2 linked regions of the Arabidopsis thaliana genome follow. The protein of the gene in region 2 interacts with the protein of the main gene of each other region in a pairwise test. Each region holds a gene or a part of one and is shown on either strand. Other genes may lie near its edges.

Region 1 (8,654 bases), on a different chromosome or scaffold from region 2:
TTGAGACTTTCATCAGACAATGATTTTCCAACAGAATCAAACAGCTGTTGAGCAATCACGCTGAGACAATTTTCGTCCCGAGCTTGCTGGAGCCAGAAAATCCCTGAGCCTTTCCTCCCATGTTTCCAATGATGCACTCCAGAAATCTGAAAACCATAACTTCAGATTAAATCTGTTTTTCCTTTTTCCGCCCAATTTGGAGATTAGAGAATACAAGCGTAAAATAGTGCCTCAATATATCAATACCTTCATTAGTTTAGCACTGACATTACTGAGTTCATAGAGACGGCAAATCTCTAGGCTCTGCAACAGGAGAAACATAAGTACCAGGTGAAGGCTTCTGACAAGATCCTAGAATTGTAAACGACAAACCAGAACTAGAATTGATGTACAAATGCAACTGAAATAATGAAACCTTAATAAGCATCTGATTCTCTTGAACAGGCTGCCTGTAGAACAACAGCTCTAATAAGCCTAATCCCTGTTTCTCGCACGATGCTAGATAAATAGGAGCTATCTGCAAATTTCAAACACAATATGGAAGAGTTTGATATAACAAGAAGCGCAATAAGAAAGGTGCCGATTTGATTACAGGGAAGGTACTTGATAAGTCATAAAAGAAAGGTACCTGCCAAGTCAAAGCATGAGAAGAAAGAACTTGAGCATAAACAAGTCTATGGAGCTCTTCCATGTTAATTCCACCCAACTTACGCTGTTCCTCATGTACAAGAACTTCTCCTTCTTCGCTTCCAGCTGTCAATAATTCCATGGCATGTGCAACCATCCTAACAAAAACATGAAAAGTCTCGTCCTGATTCATATAGATAAGAGTATAGCGTACTCAATAAACTTAGTAACCAGAAACAAACATCGCCTGCCTACCAGGAGCCAAATTCTTTGGAACACTCTGCCAGAACAACCTGCATCATTTAATTACACCATGCTGGATTAGAAAGTGGCGAAGAGCTGAAACAGTTGCACCTCTGACTAGGTATAAGATGTACTACTGACCTCAGTATTTTCTCCAAGAATTCCAATAAGCAGTCTTAGAAGCTTATGGGAAGTGTTAACTGGCTTTGACTGAACACACTTCTGGGCTAGGCTATGCATGCCATCTAATCCCTGCAATGCAAAATGGTATTAATTTGATTTTCAAGTTTAATATTAGAATGATAGCAAGACTCGAATTTAAATAGACAAACAGCAGGTAAAGCAATCCACCTTCGTAAATGGCCTGAGATAAAGAAGATGTGAAACAAAAAGCTCCATCCAGTTACATGTCGCAGCTCTGAGGCAATCAGCATTTCCTATCATGATCTTCAACATATTTCTCAAGCCCTCACGGGTCTGATGGTGAGCACATTGAACCCAGAAGGCACTGCACTCTAGTTTAGTTATCTGAGACTGCCATCTTTCTCGTGTCTGGCAAAAACGGCAAGATGAGTCTAGACACATAATCAGATACAATAAAAAGAGTTAGAATGATACATGTTTCTAAAATACCTTCATAAAGTCAGGCTTTGCTGCAGAGCATTCACCAAATTTCCCATCTTCTAGTTGTGGCCGCATTCGTGGCATTTTTGAAATGAGAACAGCAACCGCTTCTACCAAACCATTTTCTGTCTATTTCATTAAATTTGTATTACATTATGAATAATCAGAAATCTGTGCATATACAAAAGTACTAGCACGTAGCTAGTCACTTCATATGACATAAATCCCAAAGGACCTAAACATGAACAACTTCATTCTAACCTCACGATGTCCCAGCTGGTCTAGTTGATAAGAACCATGTAGGTGTAACAACTTCACCTGAAAATAAAAAGTATGGGCAGAACATTTCTCAAATTGTAACATTCAAGATCAAATTACAAAGAACCCCCAATCCCAAAAAAAAAGTACTAACCACTATTTCTAGCCAACCAACTGATAAAGCAGAAGCCATCACTTCCCAGTATCTTGGATCATCCTCGATGGCCTGCAATGGCACATAACCCCGTTAAGAAAGTCAGGTTCTTCAATCACTTATTTTCTGAGAACTATCGACTTCTTAGAGATGAGCAAACCTGCAGGCCAACAAGTTCCTTTTGGAAATCCTGGAGCTTTGAGTAGATTGTTGGATGTGAGCTAGAAAGGAGTATATCGTATTCCTGCCATGTTATAAATGGTAGGTAAGAAAACACTAGAAGTTTAAAAAAATAAGATAGCTCAAGTGTCGAAGGTAAAAACTAATTACAGATAACCAATCAACGAGCCGTTCTGGCAACCAAGACAGACATGTCTTATCTGCATAAAATAATTCCATCAACTCCCACGCAGCCTTTAAAGAAGTTGGTTCCTCAGCATTCTGCATATGTATGTTAACAGGAACATCCATTAACAAAGCTCCACACTCAAACCTATACCTCACTCGCGGAGGAGTTAAATTTACAAGTAAAGTTAACCAATTGTAGAACCAGAAAGACCAACGTACCTTTATAACTGATCTCGGGTCTTCAATCAAAGGAGCGGGCAAAGATATTGTATTACTAAGGAGAGATTTAATATCTCTGCTGTATTCCATTACGTACTCCCACCTGATTAAAATTACGACAATCCAGAATTGCTCAAACACGCTTTAGAAGTCTAATCATAAGATAATCCAAAACAGTATTTCAGTATTGAATGGGCAAAATCTGGGAATTTACAAAGAAGATACTCACCACGCAGTCTGATACAGAGAGGAACTCATATCCATCTTAGACAAACTGGAAATTGAGTTTCTTCTGCTCTGCAAAAGCGCGAACGGAGATACCGATCCATAAGCGATCCTTCGCCACTGTGGGTCACTGATTTCGCCATCCTCGCCGCTAAGCCTAACGTTTACGACCTTACCACCAACTTCTCCGTCGTCATCATCGCGTAACTCTGGATTCCTTAAAACCGTGACGCGTAGGTTGTTTCCGCAACCCCAGGAGATGGAGAGCCTGTGAACCGGAGACTTGAGGCCATAGCTTAGAGGATACAACACCGGAGTTTTTTCCTTGGTCGAAAACAGAACCAATTCTCCACCGCCAGATTCCGAAGACATACCCGGCATTTTCGGAGCTCCGATGGTAGAAATGGCCGTTAGGGTTTTAGATTGGGGTTGTAGCTTTTCCGGAGGGAGAAGAACTGAAGTGGAAACAGACCAACAAAAAGGAGCGACGACAGTAAAACGCACCGTGTGTTCGAGAGATATTCTATAGTAATTACATTAGTAGCTATATACTGTTAAAACTTTTCTAATTGGACCATGTATTTTTCCAGAATGTACATTAAGCCCCAAACAACGCGTCGTTTTGTAATCAGAGATATGAACACCCTGACGTTTACGGTTACTAAGGCTGCTCTTATCTCCCTTCTTCATCATACTCATGGGCATTCGATTTTAAAGGCTTAGCTTTGTTCCTCTGTCGCCTTGGAGAATCTCCAGAAGCGTATCATGTGGCCTTCGTCTCGAAACTCTTCGCAGCCTCAAGCTATGGTATTGATTTCGACTTATTTTCCGTCTTTTCTGTTGATAATTTGTTCTTAGTTTTGTTGCTTCTTTTTTGTCAAAATTTATCTCGGGCTGAGGAATTGAGTCTAGTTTGATCAAAACTTCCGAATGGCATCAGTTGGCTAGTGAATTGGAAAACTTGAAACTAAACAAATTACAAATTCTGAGCTCTTTCTTCTTTTGGTTATTGATGTAAGATCAGTTAAGCTCAAAGAGTCAAAGTCTGATTCTTTCTTAATAGTGTACTTTGCTTTAAGTGTAAGTGTTTGGCTTTATAGTGCACAAGTTTCTTATATGTATGTCTATGGTTGATTTGGCAAATAAAATTGAGAGATTTGTGGTGTAAATTTGAATGTTTGCCTCTCAGTTCTCACCACCCAAACGAGAATTTATCATGTTTTTGTCTCTAAAATCTTACTGAGACTGCAACAAACGAGCTTATTTACTCGGTTGTTTCGGTCATGTTCTGAAATTTTCTTGTAGCTTACTAAACCAGCATTCTTGTTGGACAGTTAAAAATGTATCATTGTTTTTTTTTTTCCGGTGAATATGATCAGAGACAAGAAAAGAAGTCGATATCTGTGAGTTTTAGAGCAGAGAATCTCATACCAGGGGTTGTGATAGGATTCATCATAGGTATGATATTGGATTTATCACAGCAAGTGACCTCCCCAGTGAAAAGGAGCAGACTTTTATCCAGCAAGGTCCAGAAGCAGAGTTCTGTACCAGGCAATGGCAAGGACCAAGAGCTTAAAATGGTTTGTCTATCATCTAGTGTAACGATAGTCTCTTGTCTCTGCCCCTAGATTTTATTGGTTTGGAGTAAAATATTATAACTTAAATCCTTATAACAAAACCTAGTGATAATGCAAGCTGATTTATGTTCCAAACCCATCAAATGATTGAAATTTTAGCTTCATAAAAGAGACTTGCATAATCTATACAAGGATGGTGATGAGTTTTCAATGATGTCAGATTTTTAGATTACAAGTTAAAATCAGAACATTTGTGTAACTAATTTGAGCTTGTTCTGATCACAGGTACTGGTAGTTAGGCAAGACTTGAAGATGAGAACGGGCAAAATTGCGTCACAGTGTGCACGTAAGTGTCTTATGAAATGTGTTTGAAATTTGAACACTGGAAGTAAAATGACTTTCTTTTTAATATTCGCAGATGCTGCCACCGGCATGTATGCAGAGTTGATGCAGAGGTAATTTCGTCTGAAATGAGTTGTTTGCTTTGTATGATGCATCAGTCCGGGGTTTATGTTTTTTTTTGTTTTCATCTTAATTCTTTCAGTGACCGATACCTTCTGCGGCGATGGGAGGAAAATGGGCAGCCAAAGATAGTCGTCACTTGCAAAAACCAGCAAGAAATGTAAGCAGGTGAAAATCTTGGGGGATACAAACAAAACGCACTTCAAGACATATTATTACTTTACTACAAATGTTAATAAGTTGTCTTCAATAAATTTGAAAGCTACATTTATCTTTTCTGCTCACAGGAATAAGATCACAGAGGCTGCTGAGAGCGTTGGCCTCCCGACTTTTGTTGTAGCTGATGCTGGAAGAACTGAGGTTTGTCGTGCTTGATCAATTATTGAGGCTGAAAGTATAATCAGAGCTCCTCCTATTCAAAAGAAAATCTAAAAGTTTCTACTAATCAAATAGTTAGAACTATAGAAGACATAAACACCATCCGACCTATTGAAACACGAAAAGACTGCTCTTGAATGAAAATTATTTGTGAATTTTCTGTGGTAGTAGTACGCTAACAAGTTTCTCTGGAAACTAAAACTCTTCCTTTAACAGGTTGCGGCTGGATCAAGAACAGTTCTTGCAGTTGGACCTGGTAGAGACAATAATTTTTTGAAATTCGGTTTTAGCTAAGATGTTGTTCCTCAACATGTTCATTACTTTTCTTGTGCAGGACCAAAGGAGTTGGTTGATTCCATAACTGGTAGGCTGGCTTTACTCTGATTCAGGAGCTTTTTCTTGGCGTAGTTCCTCTGGGATTTTGATTTCTCCAGGATTAAGGTTAATTCAGGCAAGGCAATGTTGTTGTGTAATGATTATTCAAGGTACATGTTAGATTTGTTGTTGGTTAATTTGCTTGTAGTAGTTCTTCCACCGGTTTTTTGGAGTTGAATTCATGTAAATTTCGATTACATTCTGACACTTTCAAGTTTTTACCGCTGTAGTATAGGGTATTGGCTTCCAAAACCAAAGTAACAACCAGAATTTCATAGTTAAAATAACAATATTTTAACTAATAAAGGAAACATTCTCATATACATGAGTGCCAAGATTGATCGGTCTAACCGATAGCACTGGGCTATATTGATCCCTCGGCAGTCAATAGTAGACTTCCACAAAAACTTGAATAAGTTAAAATTTTAACAGTGTATTTTTTTTACAAAATAAAAGGTTAATAAAAATCATAATCGTGGTATATATATTATTTTGGTCGTTAATATTAATCTTTAAAAAAGCTTAAATAAATCGTCATATCATTTATTTTCTACTCTATTTGTAATAGGCAAATTTCTTTCGATCAAAGATCTAATATTTTCCCTGTACTGATATGTAATGATTTTTAAGAGAATCTAACAATACTAGTTGTTCTGACTCTCTCGTAATTGAAAAAAGCTTCCGGACATTACTAGAAACGTACTGTGACGGTGACACCTTTTTCCCGTCGTACTACCTCAATTTCTAGTACGTACATGTCTCAGTGCTTTTGTTAGAAATGATTCTTATTAGTGTTTTTACTTATGTCTATTTCGTTTTGTATATAGTATATATGTGTGTTTATATAGCTTATATCGTCCTTCTCATGTTTTAAGTTTTATATTCTTTCTTTTTTTTTATGTAACATATAGGGTGACTTTGGAATTGATTTCTTTTTGATACTTTCTTTGAGTGACGTCGAAGTCTTCCCCAAAGTTCAGCTCGCTACGTTGGACCGTTATGATTCCACATTATTATATATAAATATCTATATGCATCACATGGCATACTGTATACGCAACATACTCACATGACTCCATAATATTTAGATATATGTGTGCTTTTACGTATTCTTTTCTTTTCTTTTTGGATATGATATAAACCAACATAAACAACATTATCTAATGTTTAAAACCAAATAATCATCAATGTTTATCAGTTTCTAAGTTATGTTTGGATGGTAGTTAACAAACAAAAGAACAAACAGTGAGAGAAATTTCGACGAGTTTTAGTATTACATATCTCATTTACAGTGGAATGCATAGGCTTTTGTAAAAGGAATTCAAGGCAGCCTACCATTTGGTAAATTACTGAATTTTCAACGTGTAAAGTTGAATGGAGTGATAAGAATTGTTTGTGCATAGAAAAATCTAATAATAAGGATCGCTTAAACCAAAAGAAATTAGACATTACAAGTACAGTCCGTGGACCTTTACCTATATATCTCTATCAAAATAAAATATTGAATGTTGGTTAAGAAGAGGACCATTTTGATATTATAGCTATATAATACTACACTATACATCATAAATTCGCCCACTTGCTGGTTAGGTTTGCATGAGAATGCATGTGACGAGCACCTCAATCTATGCTCCATTTCCCTTTATTTAAATTAAATAATATTTCTATATGACTTTTGTGCTGTGCAAATTTGTATTTGTCCCTTTACTATACTAAATATATTTCAGATTAATATTACAGCATCAGATTTCCTCGAATATTGTCAGAATGTAAAACGTGAAAGAAGTTAAAATTCAGAGAATAATTAAGTTTGATAAATTATAATAACCCATCTGTGAATAATTATTAAGCTTCCGGATCCCAGTGTTTTGGGTGAATAAGAACGTTTTTTACTTTTTTATTTGAATTTGATTTTAAATTGAATGGAATATATTGTTCTTAATCACACACGACGATTGCAACCAAATTCATAACACGCTTAACACTTTATGAAAATAAAAACAGTAGAGAAAGGGAAATAACAACTATTTGGAATTTTTTATTTTGGGTTCTAGTTGGATTCAATTATTTTCGTGACTAGTATTAAAAACCAGAAATAGATTGATATGTATATCATTAATTAACTCCTTTATTTCTACCATATTTCTCTTATTTTATAAACTTTCTAATTAAAATTTCGGGAAGTCGAAGAGCAAAAACAAAAGCTATCAAATATATCAATAGTACTAGAAGTAGTCTGCAGAAAATGAAAAACAAATGTTAAAAAGGAAAAAAAAAAAAATAAAGCTAAACGAAACGAACAAATTATTGCGAAATTATCCACGTGGAAATAGAAAACTAGATTAAGTGTCTAAAATCAGGAGCCACGTGGTTAGTATTATTATGCATTAAGAAATCTTCACCGTTGGATCTGATATCCATCAGTAGATTCTCACACCTAAGCTGACTCAGCAAATGCTCGTCTCTCATCTCCTTCTGTCGCCGGAGCTCCATCACTTTCCGGTGAGAGTTCGAGTGCCTCGCCATCACGAACGTCGGACTCGACGCCGGTCTATACTCCGGCACGAGCCTCCCTGATTTGTACCTCACTCCGCAAGCGTTACAAAGCGTCTTCGGACCCATAGGTCCCGTCCTCCATTGCGGCGTCTTCTCCGTCGCGCAGTGCAAACAACGTCGTCCTCCTCCGCTTTCTCCGCAATCCACGTCCATATCTCCGGCGAAGTCTTGTTCTTTCACTCTTCGTTGTTTCTTCTTGGGATTGGTTTCGTCGGAATCGGCTAAGGATAAAAGACGGGAAGCCCACGTGGAGGCTGCAGAACGTGATCTCTTGCTTCTGGCCTTGGCAGGAACGGCGACGTTGGATTCATCGATGTCGATGAATTGATGATCAAGTTCGGGTTCGGGTTTAATTAAGTGGGTCAGGGTCGACCCGGTGGTTTGAGGGTTTTTTAAACCGGAAAATAAGTGAAGCTTGTCTTGGTCTTCTCCTGCGAATGATTCTTCCACAAAATTTGATAACCATTCTAATTCTGCTATATCGTCATTCTGATTAAATAAGAAGAAGAAGAAGAAGAAAAAAGTGTTACTATTTCATAAATATTGGCGTGGATTTGAGAAAATAATAACGGAAAATTACCGGAATATATAGGTCGGAGAAGCCAGTG
Region 2 (8,968 bases):
TCCATACATATTACCAAACCAAAAAAATACACAAGGGGGAGAGAGACCAACGGTTCTTGGTTCAGAGTTTGCATCTTGTTTGAGCCGTCACCGTTTCTTAGACTTAACAGCCACAACACCTTTATAAAGCTTCACGCGATCCTTCAACGCATCTCGCCGAGGCCGAGCCACCTTATTGTTTGGATCAAACAACAAAACTTCTTCAAACGCATTCAATGCCAAAGGCAACTCCTTCTTCTTCTCATAAGCATCCCCAAGGTTGTTCCAAGCTGTTACATAACCGGGTTGCAGCTTCACCGCCATTTCAAACTGAGCAATTCCTTTGTCAAGTTTATCCTCTCGTACATAACTCACTCCAAGAGCGTTATAGACCTGTCTCAGGAATTGTATATTGCAGTGTCAATTGATTTTTTATTTACTTGGTAACGGTATTAGTGTAAAAGTCTATTACCTGAGCAAGATCTTGATCATCACCGTCCCATTTCTGGATAGCTTGTTGCAAAAACTTGTTGGCTGCAGGATAAAACTTCCTTCTCAACATCACTGCACCAAGCTCAAAGAGCTCTGTTGCACTTGCATCTCCGCTCCTTACTTGCTCCTTCAGGTCATAAAGACAACAATAGAACCATAGCATCCAGATTTGATCAAATTAACAAAAACGTTGAGCAAGCATAGCTACTTAAATAAGTCTAATGTTCATAATATCTACAATTATTATGTGAATAGCATTAAAAGATAAGAGACAGACAATGATACGAGAGACATCAATATTACATCTCTACTCTAGACTCGTTCCATCTCAGTTACTTATCCTACTGTTTTCTACCACAAAGAGCACATTGTCTGGTACCTGCAATTCTTTAGCGGAGAGGTCTAGTTCTCTGCGTACAAGTACTTGACGGATCACATAGAAAGTACCAACTCCAAGCAACCCCAGTAGTAACAGCAAGTAAGAAAGCTGAATACTAAGTTCAAATAACTCTCCAACTTCGTAAATCGGTTCAGGCTTTATGATTTCTGCTGCTGCTGCCAACTGTGGGTGAGCAGAAACCATCAACAAGCTCTGCCCCAGCAGAAAGGTAGATCCTTTGATTGGTAGCTTCTTCAAGGAAGCTTTGTTCAAAGCCGGTAAACCTCTAGCAGAAATTTCTGCAAAGACATAATCTAAAGCTATCAATCTAAACCTCAAGCAGAAACATCTAGATGTATAGTAAAGTATGAAACTTTAAGCAGGGAAGAAGAAGTGAAGTACCATGAAAAGATCGAATGGCCAAAGTCCTTCCATGTATCTGCCTTCATCCACAAGTTCAAAAACAAGGAGGAAGATTAGCAAGTTCATGAACAAAATAAAAGGGTAAATTTTGACTCTGTTCTTGTTCAGATTCCACATAATCTTCTTCTATCGTAAGAACAATTTACGAATCAAAATTCTTGATTGGGGAAAAAACAGAGGAAACCCTAGAGTACAGTGAGATTGTAAACTATGGGTGAAGCGAAAGAGAGGAACTTGGAGTGTTTACCTGAAGAGAAATCTTGCTGGGTGACCCAGAAGAAGGGAGAATCTGAGAATGGTGAAGATAGAGACGGTGAATTGGAGGAGAAGAAGAAGATAGTGTTTGAAGAACCATGTTCGATTCGAACATTAGTGTCACTGACTGAACTTTTTCCCGATTAAATCTAAATCGTTCTGTGAGGAGAGTCTTGTATGTGTGTGTGTGCTCAAGAGATAAAAGAATAAAATCTAGCAGGAAGAAGAAGAAGAAGATAAGGCCCACGTTGCCTCTTCCAATTTCCGGTTTAGTACCTTCCGGTTTAAATCTACATATTATTTCATTTTGGTTTTATCTAATGGATCTTTTTTATTTAATTAGGGAAGATTTATGAATTTTTCAGAATATATATATATAGGAAGAACCTTAACAAATAATTAAGAAACTCTTCCAAACTTCTTTTGATACATGTTATTAGTTATGTTATATACATCTAAAAACTAAAACTTAAAAGAGTGTGCTTTCTGAAAATTTCCCAAAACTTATCATACTTAGGGGAAAAGGCTTGTCATACTTTGACCAATAAGCTTACCAAACATGTACATCAAGTTACTTTCATAATCCGAGTTTATCCATTGGAAACGGGAAAATCAGGTTAAACAAATGTGAAACAACTTGATTAAAGAATTAACTAAAATAGATAAAAACAAAACATATAAATCGAGAATGCTCTTATTTCACCGTTAATTTTTGTATCTAGCCACATTCATCTTAAAACTTGTTTTGGTTTTATATGTACAATCAAATGTAAAGATATTTTGTAAGTATTTCGCATATACTTTTTTTGTGAAATAAGTTATCAAATCAGTTAATATGAACTGTTTAGATCGTTGTTTTTGTTTGTTAAAAAAATAATTGTGTTAAATCGTTACATAATCTTTTGTAGCTTATGAGGTATTTATTACCGAACAATGAAGTCGTAATATTGAAGCCTTGAAGGTAACAAAAAGTAAAATATACTCCAAATTTAAATTGAGTTACAAAAAGAAAAAGGAACTTCGTGGGTTTAGGTAAAATACAAACCAACCCAATGAGTTTAATTTCCTTTTCTTTTTTCTTTATGTAGGATTTGCACAACACTACTGTTTTATGAGAGAAAGAGAGCCAAACAACCACTGCTAAAATTCAATGAAATCCCATAGTAGCTTTGAAGGCAGGAGCATCCGGAGGCGGTGAAGGCAACACCGTCAACGCCAATACACCACTTACCGCTGCCGCAATCGCTCCTAACACAAATGCTGGAATGTTTCCACCACCGAATAGTTCGTCGAATGGTCCACCTCCCACAGATATTACCATCTATATTTAACCAAGAAACCAAATATATATATTAGTCATAATTTTTCCTAAATGAAAATAAGTAAAACTGATTTTAAACGGGTTTTTACCTGAGGGACGACAATGGCTAGATTCAGAACACCTAGGGAAAGTCCTGTGGAAGAAAAGATAAAAAGCTTTAGGAATCAAGATTACAAATTTTCGTAGGCTATAGAAATTGTAAATTTGGTATATCGCGTATATATGGTCACTCAAACGAATATATAAATATTGGTTACTTATAGAATCTTCTCAATAAGTTATTAAATTACGAATCTGCACGTATTAAATGCTTTTAGCTTTTTTAGGTCCCAACACTTTAAGAAGATTGTCGACTTTGATTATCCAAAACAAAAAGGGTAATTTTAGATTAAATAAAAAGCTCAAAAATAGAATATTTACCTTGGCCGGCACCGGAATTGGTTGAAAATATGGAAGCTAGTGCAAAAGGAATGCTAAACGTAATCTGCAGTTAATAAAAATGAAAAAAAATTCATCAAATTAGGTTATTGATTTACTTCTTTCCTTATTATAAACGACAAATCAGATATAGTACTAAAATAATTAGCCAATGGATAAACAAAAAAAAAAACAGAGAGAGAGATACTTACGGCTTGGGGGATACCGAGGATGGCGAAGAGAGTTAAAGCACCAGCTGTGACGTTACCAGGTGGACCTGTTTTAGCGCCGCCGTGATCTCGTCGGTGATTCTCAGCTTGTTTCGTAACCACAACCGTCATGGCCAAGCAAATGGCGAGGATGAAGTTAACAATACCCCAAAGCCTTTTAGCTCCTCCCAATTTCCGACCAATCCATTCAACACCAAGAGACATGAAACCAAGAACAATAGCGTTAAGCATAAGCCCCAAAGCACCAGCTCTGACTCCGTCGTTGTAAAGCTTCTTAGAGGCTGCGGTTGCGGTTGCGTCTGAGTTTCCTCCGTACACCTCACGGCCCATCCAATCAGTGTCGAAGAGAAGGAAAGGGAACCAAGCGATCCAGTTTAGTGCAGTGACTATAAGAAGCATCCACATGGGTCTTTTTAGTTCCTTGAAAGCTCCGAAGATTTCTCCGAAAAACGGAACGTTGGAGGCTTTTCCATCGGCTGTTGGCTCTGGCGTCCATGGCTTCTCCTTCACGTAACAGAGAGATACGAAAGTGACTATGAGGAGAAGCGTTATGGATAGGAAAAAACACGTTTTGAGGTTTGCGCAGTAGAGATCGCATGACTCAGTCATCGTGAAAGGCACAACTTTGTAGAGATTTCTGTAAGATCCCGCAGCGTAACCCAAAACGTTTCCAACCGCCATGAAAAACGAGAAAAACGCGTTTGCGGTTCGCGTTTTCTTAGCGTTCCCTGCTGATAAATCAGCCAAGAAAGCTCTGCAGGGTCCTTGTAAGGTGTTGTTAGCCACGTCAAGAATCCAAAACCCGAGAGCGAATATCGCTATGGCTCGCGTTTTCGGCGGTTTGTCAAGCTGATCGCCCATGCTGTGACCTATATCGGCAGCGTAACCGATAAGGAAAACAGCAACGGTGACTAAACCAGCTCCAGCGACGATGAAGGGACGACGACGGCCGAATCTTGAGGTGCAACGGTCACTGTGGTAACCGACGATAGGCTGAACAAGCATACCGGAGATTGGACCACAGAGCCAAATCAGAGAAGCCCATTTATGTGGGATTCCGAGTAGCTGCACGTAAGGAGTCAACAGAGATAACTGTAAAGCCCAACCGAACTGTACACCGGCGGCAATGGAAGACACCGATATGATCTTACGAAGCCGTTCCGGCTGATCTAACTCACCCGTCTGCGTTTCCAACGCAGACGCACCATTTGCAGCTTTCTCCATTGGATGGCTGACCATATTTGACAAACCAAGAAAGTAAGAAAAAAAAGAAATTTCTTTGAGAGGGTTTTTGGTGGTTGTTGCGGTGGTTGTAGTGGTGGAGGAAGAGGAAGAGTGGAGAGGTATTTATAGGAAGAGAAGGATAGGATTATCCGAAGAGGAGACAGTGAAGTTAAGAGAGCCTTGAGGCATAGAAAAGAGAAAACAGAGCTGTGTCTATAGCGTAGGGTATCTTCGTGACACGTGTCTGTCGTATATTATTTTTTTCTGTTTTGTATTTAATTATTTTCTTCTTTTTTAGCGTAATATATTATTTTCTGTTTTTGGAACTTAAATCTTTTAGATTTTACCTTCACACAAACTATCTTACTGATATGGACGTTCGATTCTCAAAGACACTTTATTTTATTTCCATCTTTTAGTTATATAATAGTAATGAAAATTAAATGAGAATATGTTAAAAAAAAACCATGAAGCGAGAAATTCGGATAGAGAAAAGTCAGAAACAATATGTAAGGGCATATACTATGTTGATAGATATATTCGGATTGATTTTTCTTGTGATTTTTATATTAGGTAAAGAGAAAGAATATAACTTTCGAATTTCGATCCGAGCGAGTGGCACTAGAATAATTTTCGGTGATAACATTTTTCTAATAAACTATTATTGTTTTATTTTCAGACGAAAGCGTAAAAATATCTATCACTTTTCTTATTTCAAAAGAATTTTTTTTGAAACACTCTTTTTAGATATTTAAATGTGTTAGTAAATTATTGGACAGTTTTATAACTGCATTTTCACCTCTCCCACTGTTTATTTGTACTGCGCGATACAATTGTTTAATACAAATGACAAATCACACTTATGAAATTGACAAAAAAAAAAAAAATCACACTTATGAAATATTGAAATGTATTAAATAATTTGAAAATATAAACATAAATGGTGTGCTATTTTGCATGCATATAATCACCTTTTTGAAAATAATTAATTTCTATGCTCTTAAACTATTTAAATGTGGTGTGAAGAGAATAAAGACAGAGAATAATAGTATCCTCAGGCAATCACATAAGCAAAGTAGTTACATAAAACATGTTTTGGGAAAATATTAAAAGAGGTTGTCTTAAATTATGAAGACAGTTTGACTTATCTTCTCTGATCCACATCTAAATGAAAATTAAACATACATATCTGGATGTTACGATCACAATTATCGATCTCTTCCGTTATCTCTGAAGTCTCGAACCTACATGCAATGTCATGGACTTGACACTTGTAATCAATAAATTATGTTAATTTAACCTTTTAAAACAGTAAAAGTATGTGTTTTTTTTGTTCTTTAATTTAACCAGACGAGTCAAAAGAAAGAATATTATAACATTAATAATTCAAATATCCCCCAAATAATTAACTATCTGGCTACATATATATACGGATATACATATGATTATATTCATATAATCACCATTTAAAAATTCCTTAAAAAAGAAACACTTGAGTTTTTCATGCATATATTTTTTACCAAAAAAAATGCCGATCAAGTATCTGAAATGTATAAATATAACTGTAAACTCATATATATATATAAGTTATAGAGCAAAGAAAAAACATATAAACTTTATGGATGAGACAACATAACACTGAAAACAGATAACTAATAATATAAAATACATAAAACCCTTTACTAACATCCGCAAAAAAAAAAAGCACCATTTACGAACAACCAATTAGTTTTAAGTTAGTTTAATTCCAAAGTAAATTTGGTTGATATCTGGAAAACTAGTTCGTTGAAACCTTGTGATCGGATTATAATTAGTGGGTAAAATCATTCCCATAGTCTTGTGTTGAAATTATATCTAGTTTGTCCACATTGTTATTTGTTTCTCCGTTTTCAAAGGATACTATATGTTTCCGAATTCTTATAGACAAAAAAACGGGAGTTCAAATGTCTGGCCACTAACAATGATCAATGACCAATCACATAAAAGGGGGAATACCAATTTACCGAAATCTGGTAAATGTCTCCCACAAAACAAAGTGGATTATGTATCATTGCAGTTCATATGCAAATGATTTCATGGTCCATTATAACAGTTAATAATAGAAAGTAACTTGGTGTGTGAAATTAATATGAAACCAGATTTTATTTATAAATGTAGGTTCATATGAGAAATTATAGTGGCCTTGAACTTTTATTTTTTGGTAAGTGATTGTAGTTTTATTAATTCCAAAACATTAGGGTCGGGGATGGGGACCCCAAAAGAAGGTTGTAGTTAGTTTGCGTTAAAAGATTTGTGCTTTGTTCCATCATTATGCACCCCTAGTTGATAATGACTCGGCAACATGTGTTTTGCCTCAATTTTCCTCTTTTTTCTTATTTTTAAATTTAGAATATTAGAAGGGTCAACATATAAATCACGAGACCATAATAATCTTTGTTTAATCGTTCGAATGAAATGAATAATAACTGAACAAAATAAATTTTTAAAAAAAATCTTAACTAATTAAGACGAATGGGATACTGCGAGCCCTGAGGTTGCTAGCTAGGAGTGACATGAATCCAACGCCGAAATTTTTGAGGTGCGTGGGATCATAATATAAAGGGTATCACCATATGGGTTGATAAACAAATTCGAAATCTGATTTCAGCAATACGATTATTAGGCGACAAGCAGTATGACGATGCCTATTTAAAACTGGATTCACTCCCATGACTAGTTAACCTCGACTCTTAGCTTGTTTAAACATTTTCTTTAAACATTTTCGAAAAATCATCAGAAATCTTTAGAGCTTACTTTTTCAAACATACGAAGCACAAATTATAAAAACGTATATTTGTTTTTTTAAATATAATTTAATATTACACTAAAAAAAAAAATATCGAATCCAAAAATAAAAAATGGCATTAGTTATATACTGAGTTCTAAATTTTAATGATCTAAGGCTTGGGTACTAGATTTGAAGTACCAAATACATAAATATCTTGAAAAAATATTCGGACATTTACAAACAAAGTCGTCCAATGGGCCAAGCGGATCAAGCAATAGTTTGCGGCCGTTAATATTAACATGTTATTTCGGCCCATTTTTAGTCCAACGGTTTAGTTATATCATAAAAACCATTATTTTTCGGATTTGAAATTTTAATCGATATGTATCTTGAAAAAGTTTCGAAACAGCCGTGTGTATTTTATTAAAAATTGTTGGCGATTTAGATTTATGAAATTTTCCTAATCAGTATCACAAACATGAATTACATGTTTCAGTCGTCCACTTTGAAAAAAAGAAAGAAAAAAGCTCTAAAAACACTCCAAAGTAGGGCAAAACGTAAAGTATAAATTGTACTCCAAAATATATCAGGATTTATTAACTTGAAAATAAATTTGACCGAAAGAAGAATAAAATAGTAGAAAAGGTTATAGAGAATTCATTTAATAATAACTCAGAGATTTCGAATGACGTGGTGTTAGCGGTTCTAGGGATTAACAATCTTGTGGCAAATAAATGTATGACAAAGTTGATTATTACTCTTTTTCTTTTTTGGGTTAAAATGGGAGGCTACTGTAACTATCCATTTTAACGATTTAACGGCTACTCTCTCTAAATAATTAGTACTGTAGTATATTTATTTATCTGTCTCAAGTGTTTATATAATAAGTTTATATTTGTGATGTCATTATAATATGTTTACATGCGTTAAAGTTAGATCGTTATAACTTCTCGGTTGACAATAAAGCTTCGTCGTTTAGCTAATACGAATTAATTCTTCTCTATATTTCAACTCTTGCATGGTTCGATACTCCCAATGCTGATTTTTTTTCTATATAAAAATCATAGTATTAATTAGAATGAATGCTTCAAGCTTTGGAAAAATATCCGACCATAATAAAGGGCTTGAATATGTGTTATTATATTTATTTTTAGCAAAATTAATAAAGAAATTTTGAGATGCTTTAAATTCGCAAGACGTGTTCATCGAGTTAAAAATATTTCTCTATTTTTTTGTTCTTTTAAAAAGTAAGTAACACCAAACTTATAATCATGACAAAAGGGAGATCACAGCTAAACTAAAAAAAAAGGATAACAAAAGCGAGACTAAACATAAACTTTGATAATAATTTTATTACAAAAATATATAAATAAAAAGGATCAGAATGGTCGGTAGAAAAAGAATTATTGACGAATAAATTTATTTTTGTTTGAAAAAAAAGAGATTGACACGTCGCCAATGGGAAGAGTGAAGTTTACGCG

What was found.
Region 1: the proteins of SUC2 (region 2) and AT4G32900 interact in a protein complementation assay, tested with the Arabidopsis thaliana proteins (one large-scale study listed by BioGRID).

What each region holds. Positions count from the first base shown.
Region 1 is NC_003075.7:15,875,789-15,884,442, reverse strand, and holds AT4G32900 (Peptidyl-tRNA hydrolase II (PTH2) family protein), read left to right. Parts: upstream 1-3,401; 5' UTR 3,402-3,463; coding exon 3,464-3,505; intron 3,506-4,077; coding exon 4,078-4,278; intron 4,279-4,560; coding exon 4,561-4,621; intron 4,622-4,693; coding exon 4,694-4,730; intron 4,731-4,819; coding exon 4,820-4,897; coding exon of another isoform or gene 4,898-4,901; exon of another isoform or gene 4,902-4,905; intron 4,906-5,024; coding exon 5,025-5,097; coding exon of another isoform or gene 5,098-5,112; exon of another isoform or gene 5,113-5,331; coding exon 5,332-5,371; intron 5,372-5,449; coding exon 5,450-5,499; 3' UTR 5,500-5,874; downstream 5,875-8,654. Other genes in the region: AT4G32910 (nuclear pore complex Nup85-like protein), read right to left, coding at 1-146, 247-303, 416-517, 629-785, 883-920, 1,012-1,122, 1,222-1,422, 1,504-1,623 and 6 more; GATA9 (GATA transcription factor 9), read right to left, coding at 7,828-8,535, 8,627-8,654.
Region 2 is NC_003070.9:8,028,236-8,037,203, forward strand, and holds SUC2 (sucrose-proton symporter 2), read right to left. Parts: upstream 4,922-8,968; 5' UTR 4,736-4,921; coding exon 3,479-4,735; intron 3,334-3,478; coding exon 3,270-3,333; intron 2,983-3,269; coding exon 2,939-2,982; intron 2,850-2,938; coding exon 2,676-2,849; 3' UTR 2,352-2,675; downstream 1-2,351. Other genes in the region: AT1G22700 (Tetratricopeptide repeat (TPR)-like superfamily protein), read right to left, coding at 88-372, 452-598, 851-1,164, 1,253-1,289, 1,521-1,643. UniProt on the Arabidopsis thaliana protein: Responsible for the transport of sucrose into the cell, with the concomitant uptake of protons (symport system).